Linked DNA regions of Astyanax mexicanus. The protein of the gene in region 1 purifies or fractionates together with the protein of each later gene. This does not show direct contact. Links are inferred from orthologs where the notes say so. Each region holds a gene or a part of one and is shown on either strand. Other genes may lie near its edges.

What was found. Proteins that work in one complex are often made in the same cells at the same time.
Region 2: the proteins of otud5a (region 1) and ruvbl2 purify together in Homo sapiens (affinity purification with mass spectrometry, with the first as the bait; 3 studies listed by BioGRID). This does not show direct contact. The link is inferred for Astyanax mexicanus from reciprocal best matches to the Homo sapiens genes OTUD5 and RUVBL2.

The regions. Positions count from the first base shown.
Region 1 is NC_064419.1:3,684,288-3,692,196, forward strand, and holds the start of otud5a (OTU domain-containing protein 5-A), read right to left. Parts: upstream 3,641-7,909; 5' UTR 3,345-3,640; coding exon 2,781-3,344; intron 1-2,780. UniProt on the Homo sapiens protein: Deubiquitinating enzyme that functions as a negative regulator of the innate immune system. Has peptidase activity towards 'Lys-48'- and 'Lys-63'-linked polyubiquitin chains. Can also cleave 'Lys-11'-linked ubiquitin chains (in vitro).
Region 2 is NC_064408.1:15,128,510-15,137,009, forward strand, and holds the start of ruvbl2 (ruvB-like 2), read right to left. Parts: upstream 3,480-8,500; 5' UTR 3,362-3,479; coding exon 3,350-3,361; intron 1,822-3,349; coding exon 1,767-1,821; intron 1,605-1,766; coding exon 1,549-1,604; intron 1,430-1,548; coding exon 1,288-1,429; intron 1,018-1,287; coding exon 888-1,017; intron 1-887. Other genes in the region: ftr83 (finTRIM family, member 83), read right to left, coding at 5,490-6,016. UniProt on the Homo sapiens protein: Possesses single-stranded DNA-stimulated ATPase and ATP-dependent DNA helicase (5' to 3') activity; hexamerization is thought to be critical for ATP hydrolysis and adjacent subunits in the ring-like structure contribute to the ATPase activity.

The sequences.
Region 1 (7,909 bases):
TTCTAAGGACTGGGATGAGAAACATTTTCTTGTCTTCTCTGGGTTGAGAAAATGTATGTGGTGCACCATTTCTCATAGCTGGAAAAAGCAGGGGACTAACATAGCAACCAAACTGACGAAATTAGATTTTCATGGCAGATAGATTAGATATTATTTTTTTTTGTTGTTAAAATATTTATTTTTGTTTGATTATGGCTTCAAGATTCAGTGAAACTGTAAAAATAGCAGCCGAACTTCTAAAGTCTAGACAGAATATATTCAGACTGTGCAGTGTGACTGACGAGATGTGTATTTTGTGTTGTATTGTGTTTATTTGTATGTTTGTTCACATATAAAACAGTGAACAGTATTTTATCCAGTCATGCTTCAATAACTGTGACTCCATACTCAAAGTGTGGACTAAGGTAGGTGAAAAAATAAAGTATATATTTCTCAAACTAATTATAATAAATGAATTATTCAAATGTTGTCATCTTTACAAAGTGTATAATTGATTTTTTATGCTATTCTTTTATCATTATTTCAAAATCTGTCTCAAATGACAAAAATATTGTGTATCGCAATAATTTCTGGGACAATATATCGTCTACCAAAAAATCTTATCGTGACAGGCCTAATGACAGTGCAACTTCACCTGTGGGGTTGAAGAGTGTTTAAGAGTGTTTACTGTAATATCGGCTAGTTTATTTTATTTAAAGTTTTAATATCGTGTCATAAAAGAAAAAAAATCACTCAAACTCTCATAACATTTTATGCTTATATAGACTGCGGATGCAGTGGGAAGATGTTTGTTGTTTGATACCTTATCATCACTGCAGTACAATATCCTAACAGTAATAAAAACAGAAATAAATGTCAACAATATTTATATACTTAAATGAATGTTCATCAAGTAGCAGCTTTCCCAAGCCTTTATTATTAGTATTTTATTTCTGTTATTACTATGATTAACCACAAAACACTGCTGATGCTTGCTGTCTTCATTAAATTAGGATTTCCAGTCTGCATTTACACATCATAAGCATCTGTGTTTTGATACTTTATCTGTTAGAAACCATCTAAAGGTTCCACCTCAAGGTAATGCTCAAAATTCAACACTTTTACATTTATCAGGTTATTCTTTACCAGGTGATCCAAAGAACTGTGTTCAATCAGGGCTGCACAATATATCTGTTTCAGAATAGTTATTGCAATGTGTACATGTGAACAATTAAAGAGCATTTCCTGATACGATATTATCATGATACATTGCCCATAATAATAATAATAATAATAATAATAATAATAATAATAATGGCATTACAATTCTGTAATTTACAAGACAAATCTCTACGATATTTCATATCTGTTTTAAAGATAATAAAATACTCCTAAATAAGCAAGAACAGGAATTATGGATTGATTTGTGATAGTTTTAGCGCCATGTGGTGTAACGAAGCATTTAGTAACAAAAATTTAGTAAGACAAATTAGGGGTGAGTCTTAAAGATTATCGCTAATGCATCGCAAACTATATCTGAGACTACATCTGCCTGATATTTATTTTACTCTGAATTTAGATGCACACAGATGTGCTGTCATTTTTTCTTTATATCAATCTCGCTTCTGTCCATTCATTTCCCACCCCCCCCCTCTCTCTCACTCTGTCTTTCTTTCTAGAACTCTTTATTCATTTTTGTTTGTTGAATATCTGTCAATCCATTTGTTTTACCCTTTTCTGTCTTGTTCTTATCTTGTCACTCTTTCTCTCTCCTTCTTTTTGTTATTTAACTCTTTTATATCATGCCACTGATACAATATATTGTGCAGTCCTACTTATGTAAATTACTTATTTTTTAATACTTTATTCATTTGTATTTTTATTGTACTATGTAAAAGTTAGTTTTAGCTTAATTTTAACTTTTTGTATTAATCTCATTTTTAATCTTAATTTCTTAATTAAAGTAGGTATTATTGTTTTTTTTTATTTTTTCTTTCTGTCTTGGCTGCATGTTTCTTTCTGTTTATGCTATATTTTTCTCTTTCTTTCACCCTTTCTTTAATTCCAGGGTATACTCTTCTTTCTGTCTTTCTAGGCTTTGTTTCTTTCTGTTTATGCTATTTATTTTATTCTTTTTTCATCTATTTTTATCTTTTAGTTTCTGTTTTTTAATATGACTAAACGTAGTTATTTTCTTCGTCATGTCAGTCCTTGTATTTGTAAATGCTCAGCTACACTGAAAATGAGGGTTGTCCTTAATGCACCTCCGAGTCAAAATAATGGTTGATTGGTTGATATTTGAGTTTTATCTGCATATATTAATTTATTAGTTTGCTAGAACAGGGTAAGAATCACAGGTGTGCAGATTTCAGCAAGTGATTTAAAAGACGAGTTGAAACAGGAGCCCTGCCCACAGGAGGCAGTGATGGAGGGGATGTCAGAAATAGTCGCCGATTAATCGACGAATCGGAAAAAAAATAGTACAATACCCTGCAGTACAATATCCTTGTAAAATGAATGATCATCTCACTATAAACACCTGTATTTTGATAGTTTGGCTGTGAGAAACCAAGTTCCACTTGAAAGTGATGCTCAAAATTCAAATCTTTTAAACAGGGGGCAAATTTAGTCGCTGACTAATCGACTAATCGAAAAAAATAATCGTCAGATTAGTCGACTGCCAAAATAACCGTCAGCTGCCAAAATAACCGTCAGCTGCAGCTGCCTTAGCTTAGCTTATTTTGGTGATAGCCAACTAGCTATCTAGCTAATGTTTACATACACAAACGCTGCATATTTACCTGCTCAACTGTTGCTGGATCTTCTGACTGGAGTCTGGAAGCATTCTCGTACTCATCTTCACTGTTGTACCCGGCACCCTCCTCCTGATCTGGGCCTGGACCCACACCACCACCCCCGGACACACCGGGTGTCCCCCCGCCCGCGACTCCCCCAGAGCAGGTCGCCTGCCGCCGCCGCTTGCTGAGACCCGGCCCAGAGCAGCAGCTGCCGATAGTGCCCCCACAGCCCACCACGCCGCCCGCTAGCTCCCCGCGACCGCCGGACACGCAGCTAATCCCGCCCAGACCGCCTCCGTCCCCCGGGCCGGCGGGGGATCCAGCTCCCACCGGCGGAGGGGAGGCCTGCTGCGGCCGCGAGCTCGATTCATTCCGCCTGTCCTCCCTGGACTGAGGCGGCGCGGCTTGATATGACCACGGCGGCGGTGAAGCTCTAGGCCTCGCCCCGGTCCGCACAACGCCGTGGCCGTGCTGGTGAGGGTCGGAGCCGGCTCGCCTGTCGCTCTCGTCGGCGTGGTCCTGGACCCCGACCGTGGAGCTCGGCTTCTTCTTGGGCAGGATCGTCATGTTGGCTGTGTGTGCGCGGAGGGCAGGGAGGGGGGAGCGGGAAGAGGAGGAGGGGTGTCAGGGGTGACGAGTCCTCCGGCTCGGGGAGAGCTCTGCGCCGCCCGTGCTTCAGCCTGGCCGTCTTCTCTGGACCGAGGGCTCCTCCCTGGAGGTTTCGGGTAAGGTAAGGCGTCGTTTTTGTGGGTAAAAAGCGCCGCGGAGAGAACAAAAACAGCCCAAGTCTCCGCCGCCGCCGAGCCGCCACTGCTGGAGCTTCCCCTCCGCTCAGCGTCCAACAACATCAACACAGCGCTGACGACACGGTCGCGTCACTTCCTCCCCTCATACAGATCGACAGATCCAACACCCCCCCCCCTCCAATCCCCCCCAAACCCCCCGGCCACGGGCTCCCATCAAACTACCCGCAGCCCCGCTCCTCTTTCCTTCTTTCTTTCTCTCCTTCTTTCTCTCTTTCTTTCTCTCTATGATTTTTACTTTATTTACTTTTTTATTTTAGGCTATATTCTTATTTCTTTCTTATGCTTTCTTTGTGTCTGTCTTTCTAGGCCATTTTTTCATTTTTCATTTCACTCTTTTATTTCTCACCACTTCTTTCTTTCTTTCTTTTTTCAGTTCAGGCTATATTTCTTCCTTCCTTTCTTTACTTTCTTTCTTTCATTCACCCTTTTTTCTTTCCTTCTATGCAACATTTTTCTTTCTTTCAATGACATATTTTTCTTTCTTTCTTTCTTTCTTTCTAGGTTATATTAATCTTTTTAGGTTACATTCTTTCATTTTTTCTTTATTGATATCTGTTATTTATTTTCATATTTTTATTTTTTGTTTTCTTTCTTTCTTGCTTTCTTTGTTAGTTAGTTAATCTCTCTTTGTTCTTTCAATTTTATTTCACTTCTTTCTTTCTTTCTTTCTTTCATTTGCCTTTTCTTTCTTTCTAGGCTATATCATTTTTCTTTCTTTCAGTCTATTCTTTTTCACTTTTTTTCTATGCTGCATTTTTTTCTTTTTCTTTAGTCATTTCCCTTTTCTTTTTTCCCTTTTTTCTTTTTTATGTATTAATTTCTCTCTTTTCTTTCAATCTTTTCCTTTCTCCCTTTCTTTTTTCTTCTTTCTGTGCTGTATTTGTCTTTTTTTCTTTCTTCCTTTGTATTTATTAATTTCTTTGTGATATCATCAAGAGGGTTAAGGCAGTGCTAGATAATCATGGTGGTCACACAAAATATTGAGAAATTTAGTAAGTATTATATATGGGACTGTCCAAAGTTAAATTGTAACATTTATATTTTTTCTGAAAAAAAAAGCTCAAATATGTTAAAATTTTAACATTTAACAGTTTGTTTAGTCCCTGTATAAAAGAACTACCAATAGAATAGGACTCTCTCGAGCAGACTAACAGTAACCACTGGCATCATTCATGTCTTATACCAGGGTTGGGCTAGAGGGACTTATTTAGATAAAATAGCTAAAAAGAAATAATAAAAAAAAACAATAAAGGTTTTGAAGACCTCTATTTTTTTTAGTAGCAGTGCCTCTTTGACCCAAAAAACAATGACTTTATTTCTGCACTTCACCTGTCAGACCTCTAAATTTTCTCTTCACTGCTGAAACTGAGACTTAGTCCAATATTTCCATGTGGGTCAGCCAGACGTCCTCCTGTAGCAGTTTTTTCTTCAGTTTCCAAGAGTCTTTTGAAGGTGTAGAAAACAGGACTCACCACTCTCTGGCTTCATCTGTAATTTCTCTAAAGAAAAGACTTTAACTTTTGATAGTTTTGATAGAGTTCTCTGTGTTTCTGTATCATTTTCTTTTCTAGTTATTATTATGGTTATTATTATAGTTATATATATATATATATATATATATATATATATATATATATATATATATATATATTTTTTTTTTTTTTTTTTTTTTCCCTAATTTCAGTTAGTTAGTTTTTTTTTTTTTTTTTTTAAGTTTACTGCATTTTTTGCACACTGGATTTTAGATCATTTTCAGTTATTGGCTGTACCTGTAGAACTTAATTTACAGAAGAGGAGAAATGTTGATATCTAACTAAAACTTTTAGAATTACTAACATCTAATATGTATTTTTTAAAGTAGTTCTATTTTTCTTAGAAAAGACTTGAAATATCCCTTTTAAAAGGGAGTATACTCAAAAGTATAAACATTAAAAGTACATTTTCATGAATAGTTTCATAAAAGTCTGTATTTCCATGAATTGTATTTTTAAGCAATGTGCTTTAAATTAAACATGCTGATGGAAAATATATCTCTTGGCATTAAATACTGCTTAAAGTGCATTTACATTTAGTACATTTATATTTCAAGTGTAATAAAAAATATGTTTAATAACACATAATATGAAAAAGCACTCAAAAGCACAATGTAATGCTTTTATGTTGTATTTAAATATTTAAGCTTAAAATTATAAAAGTTGCCATACGTTGTTCCATAATTGTACATTTAGTATCTGTTTAAGTACGTATTAATTTTATTGTTGAAATAAAATAAAAAAAAACTTTTAAAATACTTTTAAAAAATATACTTAAATGAACTTTTCTATTGTAAGGGGTGCAAAAGTATCCACTAACTACAGACTTACTGACTGATAAAAATCTATAATAATCTATAAAAAATCTATTAAAAAATGAGAAATGTTATATATATATATATATTACCATTTTCACTTCTTTCTTTGTAACATACATCAACACATATGATAAAAAACAGCATATTTCAATAAGAAAATCACACAAAAGCAGATATTTGTGATATTTGTGTTTATTTCTTTCCGATGTTTCTGCATACAGTCAATTGTCTTCTACTGAGCACAGACCAACACGCCTAAAGCAGTACTGACCTACAGTACCTCGAAATATAAACAACAGTCTGTCCTCCTATTACAAAATACCCTGCTATTCACACAGATAAAGCAAATATATGCCATCAAGCTCTTCCACCACCAGAGGGCACGTGTGTAGCAATAAACTCCAGGCATTGTTCAGAATAACCCAGTGCTCAGAGCCCCAGCAACCAGCATCCAGCAGCGGGTAACACAAACCGTGAGCGGTGAGCAGACAGTGCTGTAATTATTATCATCAGTGCTGTAATATTGCATTCTATAGGAGTGGACACCACATTTAATACGTGATTATAAACAGCTATCAAAACTGTTAAGTGTTTTTATTACGAGCGGCTGAAGAATAAAACATGGTACGATTCGAATGGATGTGAGGATAATCCAGCACTGTGTGCAGCAATGTTAACTTATGCATTTACAAATATCATTTAGAATAAATTCATGAATAAATAAACGTATAAACTACATCAAAAACAAAGATTTACTTCATCAACTTCAGCTTGATCAACTCAGGTTTAATAATGCATTATACAGATGTCCTCTGCGTATCTGACCGTGACAGGTCCTTTGAATATTTGTCGTTTCATCTTTGGTTCAAACAATAACAATGACAAATTCAATAGACAATAGAGACAAAGAGAGAGAGAGAGAGCATCCCTGCAGATCTGAGCTGATTACTTTTGGTTATCATTATCATTTACTTATTATTTTTATATGAGGATTAGTGCTATGATTAGTGTTTGCTATGCTATGCTTTTAATATAATGAACACTGAATAATGTTTAGTGTGGTATTATTATTAGTAGTAGTACATATTAAATTATACCCATACTTTTCAGCTGGAAAGCAGAACCTTTTGTCCAATATGTGAACTATAGGCTTCATGGTGGCCAGTGATAGTGATAGGGAACAGGAAGGGTTCAATATGGTCCTCGTCTGGGTTGTACACGACTCATGGGACCGATCTTCTGTACTGTATAAACTCACTCAGACAGTAGATTGAGTAACTGACAGTAGAGATGGTGTGTTTCCCCTAAATATAATTCTTGATTAATTTGCATTAAAAATGAATATGTTAAGTTAGATTCCAGATATATTTTAATGCGCAAAAAAACACACTTCATTCACTTTAATATCTGATCCATCCAGCTCTGGAAAACAATTTGACCACTTAAAAATGTTTCTTTGACTTTACCAAATTTAAAAACCTGGAATATAATCAAGAGGAAGATGATCAAAAGTCATAAAACCAAACTGAACTGCTTGAATTTTTGCACCAGGAGTGGCGGCATAAAGTTATCCAAAAGCAGTGTGTAAGACTGGTGGAGGGGAACATTCCAAGATTCATGATAAAAACTATGATTAAAAAACAGGGTTATATCACCAAATATTGATTTCTGAACTCTTAAAACTTTATAAATATGAACTTGTTTTCTTTGCATTATTTGAGTTCTGAAAACTCTTTTTTGTTATTTCAGCCATTTCTCATTTTCTGAAAAATAAATGCTCTAAATGACAATATTTTTATCTTATTTGGAATTTGGGAGAAATGTTGTCTGTAGTTTGTAGAATAAAACAACATTGTTAATTTTACTCAAACATAAACCTATAAATAACAAAATCAGAGAAACTGATTCAGAAACTGAAGTAGTCTCTCTTTTATCAAGAAATATTAATAGGAAATTAAGAAAGAAACTATGAAACT
Region 2 (8,500 bases), on another chromosome or scaffold:
TAACCATTCAAATGTTTCATCACCTGATTTATAGAACAAAATTTTAAACGTAAAATATTTATAGTCACATACCTACAATAATAATATATATGAAATCATATATAAATATATTTCACATTCAAACATTAACAATCTTACACAACTGGTTAATAAATGTTAAATTTTTTATAAGTATGTAGTTAATAATTCAAGGGAACTGATGAAAAAGCATTTACATTTACAACATTTACATTTTAGTCGACTAAATTGACTGTATTTTTGATGGCTATATTCTTATGATATTTTGTCGACTAAAACTAGACTACAACTAAATACATTTCAGATGACAAAATTATGACTAAAACTAAATGCCATTTTCGTTGCAAGACAAAATTAACAATGCTTCAAATTATGCTAATGCAATAGCAAAGAGACGAGAGAAAAAGATAGAGAAAGAGAGATAGAAAAAGAGAGATAAAGACAGAGAGAGAGAGAGAGAGAGACTGAAAAATGTCAACACGGCATCGCTGTGCTGATATTTTTCATTCGGAGGAAAAAATGTAATGGCTCGTTGGGTAGCTTGCAGGATTAGTGTGCATGTTAATTGGACATAAATCAGCGTTGATAAACAGCGCAACATTGTGAGCGGACGCTAATACACTCAACAGTCAAATTTGAGACTAACATGGAAAATGCGAGACAAAACGATATGCATACTTTAGAACATGGGATTGTACATATTAGCATATTAGGAGGTCAAAATGCGAGACTGTTAAGCAAAATTGGTGTTGGCAGGTCTGGATGGGGCATACAGAAATTACAATGTTACCTCTTAAAATCTACTACTCCTTACTGCTAAGGCAAACTATATAGACAAGACGTTACATTATTTCCTCAGTCAGACTAACTTGATTCGGACTCCGATGGCTTTGCGGAAGGCCTGGCTGAGTGCCTCTGTCTTGCTCATCTCCAGAGAGAAGATCTCACTCCCAGCCAAAGCAGTAAAAGGCGTATCAGATCCAAGTGACTGAGCAATGCCTGTCCAACCAAAACAAAAGACTGTCATTGATGGGTCCCACAATATCAGGTAATAGCAGCATTAATCAAAGGCAGTTTACCTAGACAGGATTTAAGCCTAGTTTTTTGACTACACTGAATCTTAAGTGAAGATTTCCCATTGAAAGGAACATGTTGTATAGGACTAGGGAAACTGACCCATATTGTATATAAAATAGGAATTACAGTGGAAACTGTCCACTTTTAATAAACAGAAAATAAGGCAATTGTTCTTAATACAAATAGTCATACCCATAGCAATAGCAGTCTTGCCAGTCCCAGGCTGGCCAGCGATGAGCACAGCACGGCCAGCAATGTGCCCATCTTTAATCATCTCCAAGATTAAACCAGCAGCCCGCCGAGATGCCAGCTGACCCACCATCCCCTGAGAAACCTGAACAGCACAGAGCAAAAAAATCCACAAAAATCATTACAAACTATCCAGTTCACAAACATAATTATTGTACATACTGGTGCAAAACACATGAAGAAAACCAGTATACGCAGACCCACCTGCCGTGGCTCCAAAGCATCGTCTAGTCCAAGGCCTCGAATGTGTGAATGTGCACCTAAAACCCCAGACAACAAAACATTTTTATCCATAGTAAAAAATAATTTGTTCTAAGCTCAAGAGAATTAACGGTTACACTACATAACACTAGACTACATATTTAGCATGCATCATGTGTGTTCTAGTCATATGTGTCCTAATGTCCATCATCATCACTCACCAATCCTCTCTATCCGGGTGATGTCTCGCACCTCGGGCACTTTCGTGGCTGCCATCTTTGACAAACAGAAAGAAAAAAAAATCATTAGGCACCAAAGCACAGAAATAAATCATTTACATGAAAAATAACCAACTGTATAAAGTCTTTATACACTTTTTACCTGTAAGCATTTTCAACTTACAAATGATGTCCATCATCATGTACCAAGGTCTGGATAGAAATAGTTTCCATTTCTATACTTTCAACATACGCATTAATTAAAGTAATTTAACTGATTTAATTTAAATTATTAATGACTAATTTAGATTACTCTAAAGTACAAAAAAGTCTATAAAGTACAATAAAAACTCCACTTCCGCTTCTGAATCAGTTTCTCTTATTTTGTTATTTATAAGTATATGTTTGAGTTAAAAAAACATTGTTGTTTTATTCTATAAACTACGGACAACATTTCTCCCAAATTCCAAATAAACATTTTGTCATTTAGAGCATTTATTTGCAGAATATGAGAAATAGCTGAAATAACAAAAAAGATGCAGAGCTTTCAGACCTCAAACAATGCAAACAAAAAAAGTTCATATTCATAAAGTTTTAAGAGTTCAGAAATCAATATTTGGTGGAATAACCGGGTTTTTATCACAGATTTCATGTATCTAGGCACGCTCTCCTCCACCAGTCTTACACGCTGCTTTGGTATAACTTTATGCCACACCTGGTGCAAAATTTTAAGTAGTTCAGCTTGTTTTGATGGCTTGTGATCTTGACTTGTGATCATCCATCTTCCTCTTGATTATATTCCAGAGGTTTTTAATTTGGTAAAATCAAAGAAACTTATCATTTTTAAGTGATCTCTTATTTTTCCAGAGCTGTGTATATGTACATGTGTATATCTATAACAAAAGACAAAATCACATTTATAGTCACTAGTTAGGTAACGTTAGTTAATTAAGCACTGCAGCGCGTGCCTCAACAGTTCATGTTGCCATAGTGACACATGAGCCACAACAGTAGCTAGCTAACTTAGTAACGTTACATACGGTTAGCACAACTAAATTAAATTACTCTTTATAAACCATAATGTAGCTACAATAATATGTTTAATATTAACAGAGAAAGTGTCAGCTAGCGTCAGTGAACCATATGCTGAGCTGTTTACTGTAATGTAAGTTATCTGTAGGATGGTCAAATTGCTAGCTTTAGCTAACTTAGCCAGCTAGCATGCTAACACCAAGCTAACTAACTGAAGCTAAATATAAATTAACTAAATAAGACGAGCCAGTTGTTAAGATCAGCTAGGGGGCAGGCACTCAGAAATGATCAGAGACCGCAGGTTAAGTGTTTAAATAGTTAGTTAGTTGTATATACAGTACAGAAGCGCAGTGAGGGGCAGGTACACACATGTGCAGGAAGCTACGCTAACCCGCTAACTCGCACTCAGATATTTACAAAAGCCCCGTCTCTCTCTACAGCAGATTTAAAGCTTTACACACATTAATACAGTTTCTATATAGACCTAGGCCATTAAATAAGAGCTAGTAGAAGAATAATAAGTCTATATTTAAAGCAGAGAATCTCGCTCTCACCTGCGCTGCCATGTTTTCTCTCTCTCTCTTTTCGCGGCCGGCGGTTTCTGAATGGGTGCGCAGCCGAAATGCGCTCGTCTAGCAAACAGATTCACTACAGTTCCTCCTCACTCGTTTACCACTCAACTCTGAACTCACACACCTGTACTGTTGATAACATTCCTACTTTAAAAACATCATGCTATTATACATATTTTCCGGTGGCTCCCAAAGTGAAAGAAGTTCACTATATATTGTTTTTTTTATTTATCTAATGTTATGCTTTACCTTTTAGCCCTTTTATTTTATTTATTTTATTAATTTCATCTTTTTATTTGTTTTGTTACTGCTTTTACTTTTGACCTTTACGTTTTTATTTTATTTTATTTTATTTATTTTCTTAATATATTTTTACTTATTATTATTATTTATTTTAGTTCCATCATTTACATTTTTATAATTGTGGTTATTTATAAAGTAAATTCCTGAGAAGGAGATTTGGTTTTGAAGAGAATGCTTACATTGAGACCACCTCTTTTATATTTCTAGTCCTTCGTCTACGTGAATTATATTTATATTGAATTATGAATATAATTATACTTTATACTATATAGTTATATTATATATTATATAATTATATCATATTTAATTAATTATATTGCTGGTTGAAGGCAATACTATTGTTCAGCACCTCAAGACAAGTTTTTACAGGTATATGTATATAATACACATTTTATCCTTTTGTATTAACATTCATTTTTAGTGTTTTTTTATTAGCTATTTCAATATTTTGTTATTTTTTTCATGTAGATTTTATCTTTTATTTTTTAAATATTATTCTCTTGTTAATTAAATCTTAATTTAATCATTTTATCCCACCACTTACTCTTCTAATATGTTTTTCTTCCTAATATTTTAATTCGTTCAATTATCTCAATTAATTTTTTTATTCTGTTGTTTTGTTCAGACAGGTTGTCAAGTTGAGGACACTGAACTGACAAAAACAAGTCCTTCTAGGCTCTAAGCTGTCTCCAACTATCAAATGCATTGCCAGTATTTGCTTGCATTGTACTCTGTCTCTGGTCATATCACTTGCTGAGACTTTTTTAGCTTAGGTAGCATCTCGCTAAAGCTGTTTCTGCTAAACCAGTTTATCTTACTGGCTAATTCCATGGCTCCACACAGCTGTGTTTGCTGTTGTGTTGAATACCTGGCAACCCAGGGTGTGGAAATAGGATTGGGGAATGGGCGGTGGGTTGGACCAGAGACTAAAACACAAAAAGATTGCTCCTTTAAAGCACAGTATTTTAGTGTAGAGGCCAGCTTTCTTCCTGCAGATTTCAACAAGGTCAAATCTAATATGCCCCATTCAGCAACTCAGGAACTTCTGAAGGAGGTAATTAGCTAAATCTAATGGAGTGAAATAGGATTGGCTGCAAAGTCTGCAGAAAGATGAGGATTTTTTATTATGGTTGGAGACCACTGGTATAGGATATAGGGTGCCATTTGTAATGTAGCGTCTGGCACCAGTAGATGGCGCTCTTGTTATTTACTTAATCTACCCTGAAGCTTGTCTCACTTTTCACACATACTTTGTACTTATTTGCTGGGGTGGTTTGTTTAGTTTGTTGATTGACTACAACAAGAATGAAGCTTTCCTTCATTTGTAACTACATAATATAATAATTATTATAAAAACAAATACAATAACTTTGTCATTTCATAAATCTTTATTTGATTTCTCCATTTGTGCACACAGAACAATGGTGCCTTGACACACACACACACACAAATCAATAGTGTACATTCTGATTATTAGCTTTCTTCATGTTTATAAAACATTATTAATATGCAGTTACATTACATTTAAGCTGACATTTGGAGCATTTGTCTATACTGTATTTATAGTATAGTATATTAAAAATATTGTATAGTATATAGTATATTAAAAATAATACAATCACTGGCTCTGAAACACACGTACATTGTCACACATGTAATTTGACAAATATCATACACAGGTATTTTCCTTAAAAAAAAAGAAAAGAAAAAGAAAGTGGATTTTTAGTGACATTAAAAAAATCTGTTCTTTTATAATGATCAAAAATATATAATTACGCAATTCTTCATCCTCTTATACTACCCTAGCACACAAACAGCTCTACAACTGGCAAATAGTGATGGCCGACTCGTACCACACCCAGAAGCCAGGAAAGACCGGCTCACTGAAGGAGGCCTTGAACTGGTGGATAAGTGACATGGACTCAGAGACATTGTAGAAGGAGAGAGTGCCTCCATCGTAGTCCAGGAAGACCCCGATGCGAGACGAGTAGGGAGCTTTAATCTCCACCTGGTCTTTGCTGTGGCGAGCCGAATAGCTGGAGTCGGAGCAGAACAGGCTCCAGGACTTGCGGTTGTAGCCAAGTCGGGCCGAATCTCCGTAGCCCGTCCTCTTGATTCCTTTGTAGGTGATGCCAAAGGAGGCTCCCTCCCCGCTCCACTCCACCTCCCAGTAATGGGCCCCTCCGGACAGGGCCTCCTTGCAGAGAACCTGAGGAAGGCAGTCAAATCTCTGGGCGCTGTCACTGTAGGACTGAGGGTCTCTCTTCAGGGCTGCTTTCCTGTTTCCTCGGGATATGTAGAGCTGTTTGTAGGCTGTGTTAGAGTCCAGAGTCAGCTGGCTGGCATCTGTTGGACAGAACAGGAGAAATCACAGCTATTTACTGCTGGAGAATTTAGCTGATTTCAGTATAATTTGGCTACAATACAAATTGGCTAATTTCAATAAAATTAGGCTGTTTAGATTTATATTGCATTAGAATTTCATGATAAATTTACCAATAGAAATGCTTTAAATAATTATGAATAAAATCTTTTACTCACTTATTCATTAAAAATCTGATATAGACTTTAAGCTGCTTTTTAGAGATACGGTACAAGTTTTTTTTGTGGCAGTGACACTAAATGTGTTTCGAGACAAAAGATTTTATGTTCTTTTGTTGAGAACAGGAAAACAGATATTTTCCTCATTTTAGATGAACTATGTAAACATCACTTGCAATTAGGGACGCAACTAAAAATATTCATACAAAAAGAGTGGAATGTGAATAACTAATAATAAATTATACTCATTTATTTGAAGTCGTATTGCAGTATGTTCTCTAGAGTTAGGGTTTTTTGAGCAGAGGTGGCAGCCCTACATACCTCCGCTATTCTTTGAATAGCACTGCTGAGGTAAATATATTACGCTATGTTGGTTTATCTGCTAGTATATTAAAGTGTTAAATATTCAATAAATACTTTTAAATTGTAGTTTTGACAAAAATATCTGCAGGCTAAATATCTGCAGGCTATGAAACATACTTAATGTTGAAATTGATAAATAGTAGTATAAGCGATTTGCTTGGGAAATCACTTTTGGGAAATATCTAAAGAATCCAGTTATAGAGTAAGAAATTATTATCTGGACCTACATACAGAATTTTACAGGCATTGACATTAATAATCATACCATATAACAGGACTGAATACACCATTGTGTTAATTAATGTATGAATCTTGATCTATGTACAAACATTAAGTGAGTTATAGCTCTATAAAGGATTCTGTGTCTCTAAACAGTTTTATAAATATTATTAATACCAAGCTCCACATAGACATGGATTAAGTTAAAACATGGATGCCTCTATGTTAACCCACACTTAAGCATTTCACAACTGAGAAAAGAAAACAACGATAAATCCCCACTTTCAAGTGTTTCAAGACGAGAAAGACCCGAGATAACAGACCCTGAAGGTAAAGACTACCCTTAAAATAGGAGTGGTGACCTGAGATCATTTTTTTTTCATTATTGTTAAATGATTTCAGATGATTACAGACAGAAAGAGAGCTGATACAGTAAAAGTTAATGAGTACAGGCCCAGCCCACAGACAGCAGGTGAAGTGTATAGAGTCTGCCCACCTCATCGGCTCTCAAAGCTGGTTGTACATTAGGTGGTGGTGGCTGCCAGATGAACCACGGGGCCGTCTCTGATCTAGAGGGCCGAGAGTGGCAATATACACTTTAGACTGACTGCACATTTATGGCAGCTACAATGGAATATATGAATAGTGGTAAATTTGCTGCATTTGTCAGATATGAGTAAATTTACACAAAAATACATGCCAAAAGTAATAGGACAGAAAATAGTATCATGTCCCATGACTTTTGCCATGTGTCATAGAAGCTAAAGAACGCTGAACAAACCTGCAGTATATGTGTATGTGGGGGGTCTGCTGTATTGAATATGGATGCGATTCCTGCTAGAGTTGCTTCTTTTGTTTCATCTATTGTGAATAAAATATTCTAGCTGGTAACGATCATTAACACCTACTGAACTGTCCACTGTGGGAGGTAATGCCTTCTATTACAAATTCCCAACACAAGCATGACACTGTAAGTTATGGAATCTTCAATGCCACCCACTATCAGGCCAAATTTTTGGCATGTCAGTATATCATTTTTCAGTCTGTTTATAAGTGTAATCTTTGGGGATAGGCCGAGCTACACGCAATACTGGTGGCTTAAAGGAGAAATCCAGTGTGACATGGACTTGGGTTGTATTGAAAAATGATAATGAGTACCCCTAGCATTCTGAAATACACAGCTTTTAGCAGATGCTCCCAACAGGCTTTCAATACTAAAATAATATGAGAGAGACATAATGTTACCCATGCAAAGAAATTGCCATTTTTACACCATTAGCAATCTCAATGTTGCTCCAAACGTCATTAGTGCAAATCCAAGAGCCCTGACATTTAAAACATGGCACTGAGAGCCTTGAAAGTGCACAGATTATTCCTTATGTTTTTTTTCTAATTTATATCCCATTTTCTCCCTAATTTACAAGACCAATTACCAAACCTATTCATTGACACTCCCTAGTAATCACTAGTAATGCCCCAATACCAGGATGGTGAAGACTAGCACCTGCCTCCTCCGATATATGTGAAGTCAGACTCTGTCTCTTTTTGAGCTGCTGCTGATGTAGGTTAAGGAAAAAGGCCAATTGTTCTAATGGCAAGCTGCATGATTGGGATTCGAACCAGCGATCTCTCGATCATAGTGGCAGCGCATTCCTTACATTTCTATAGAACTTGCAACTTCTGCATGTCCAGAGATGCGACAAATTC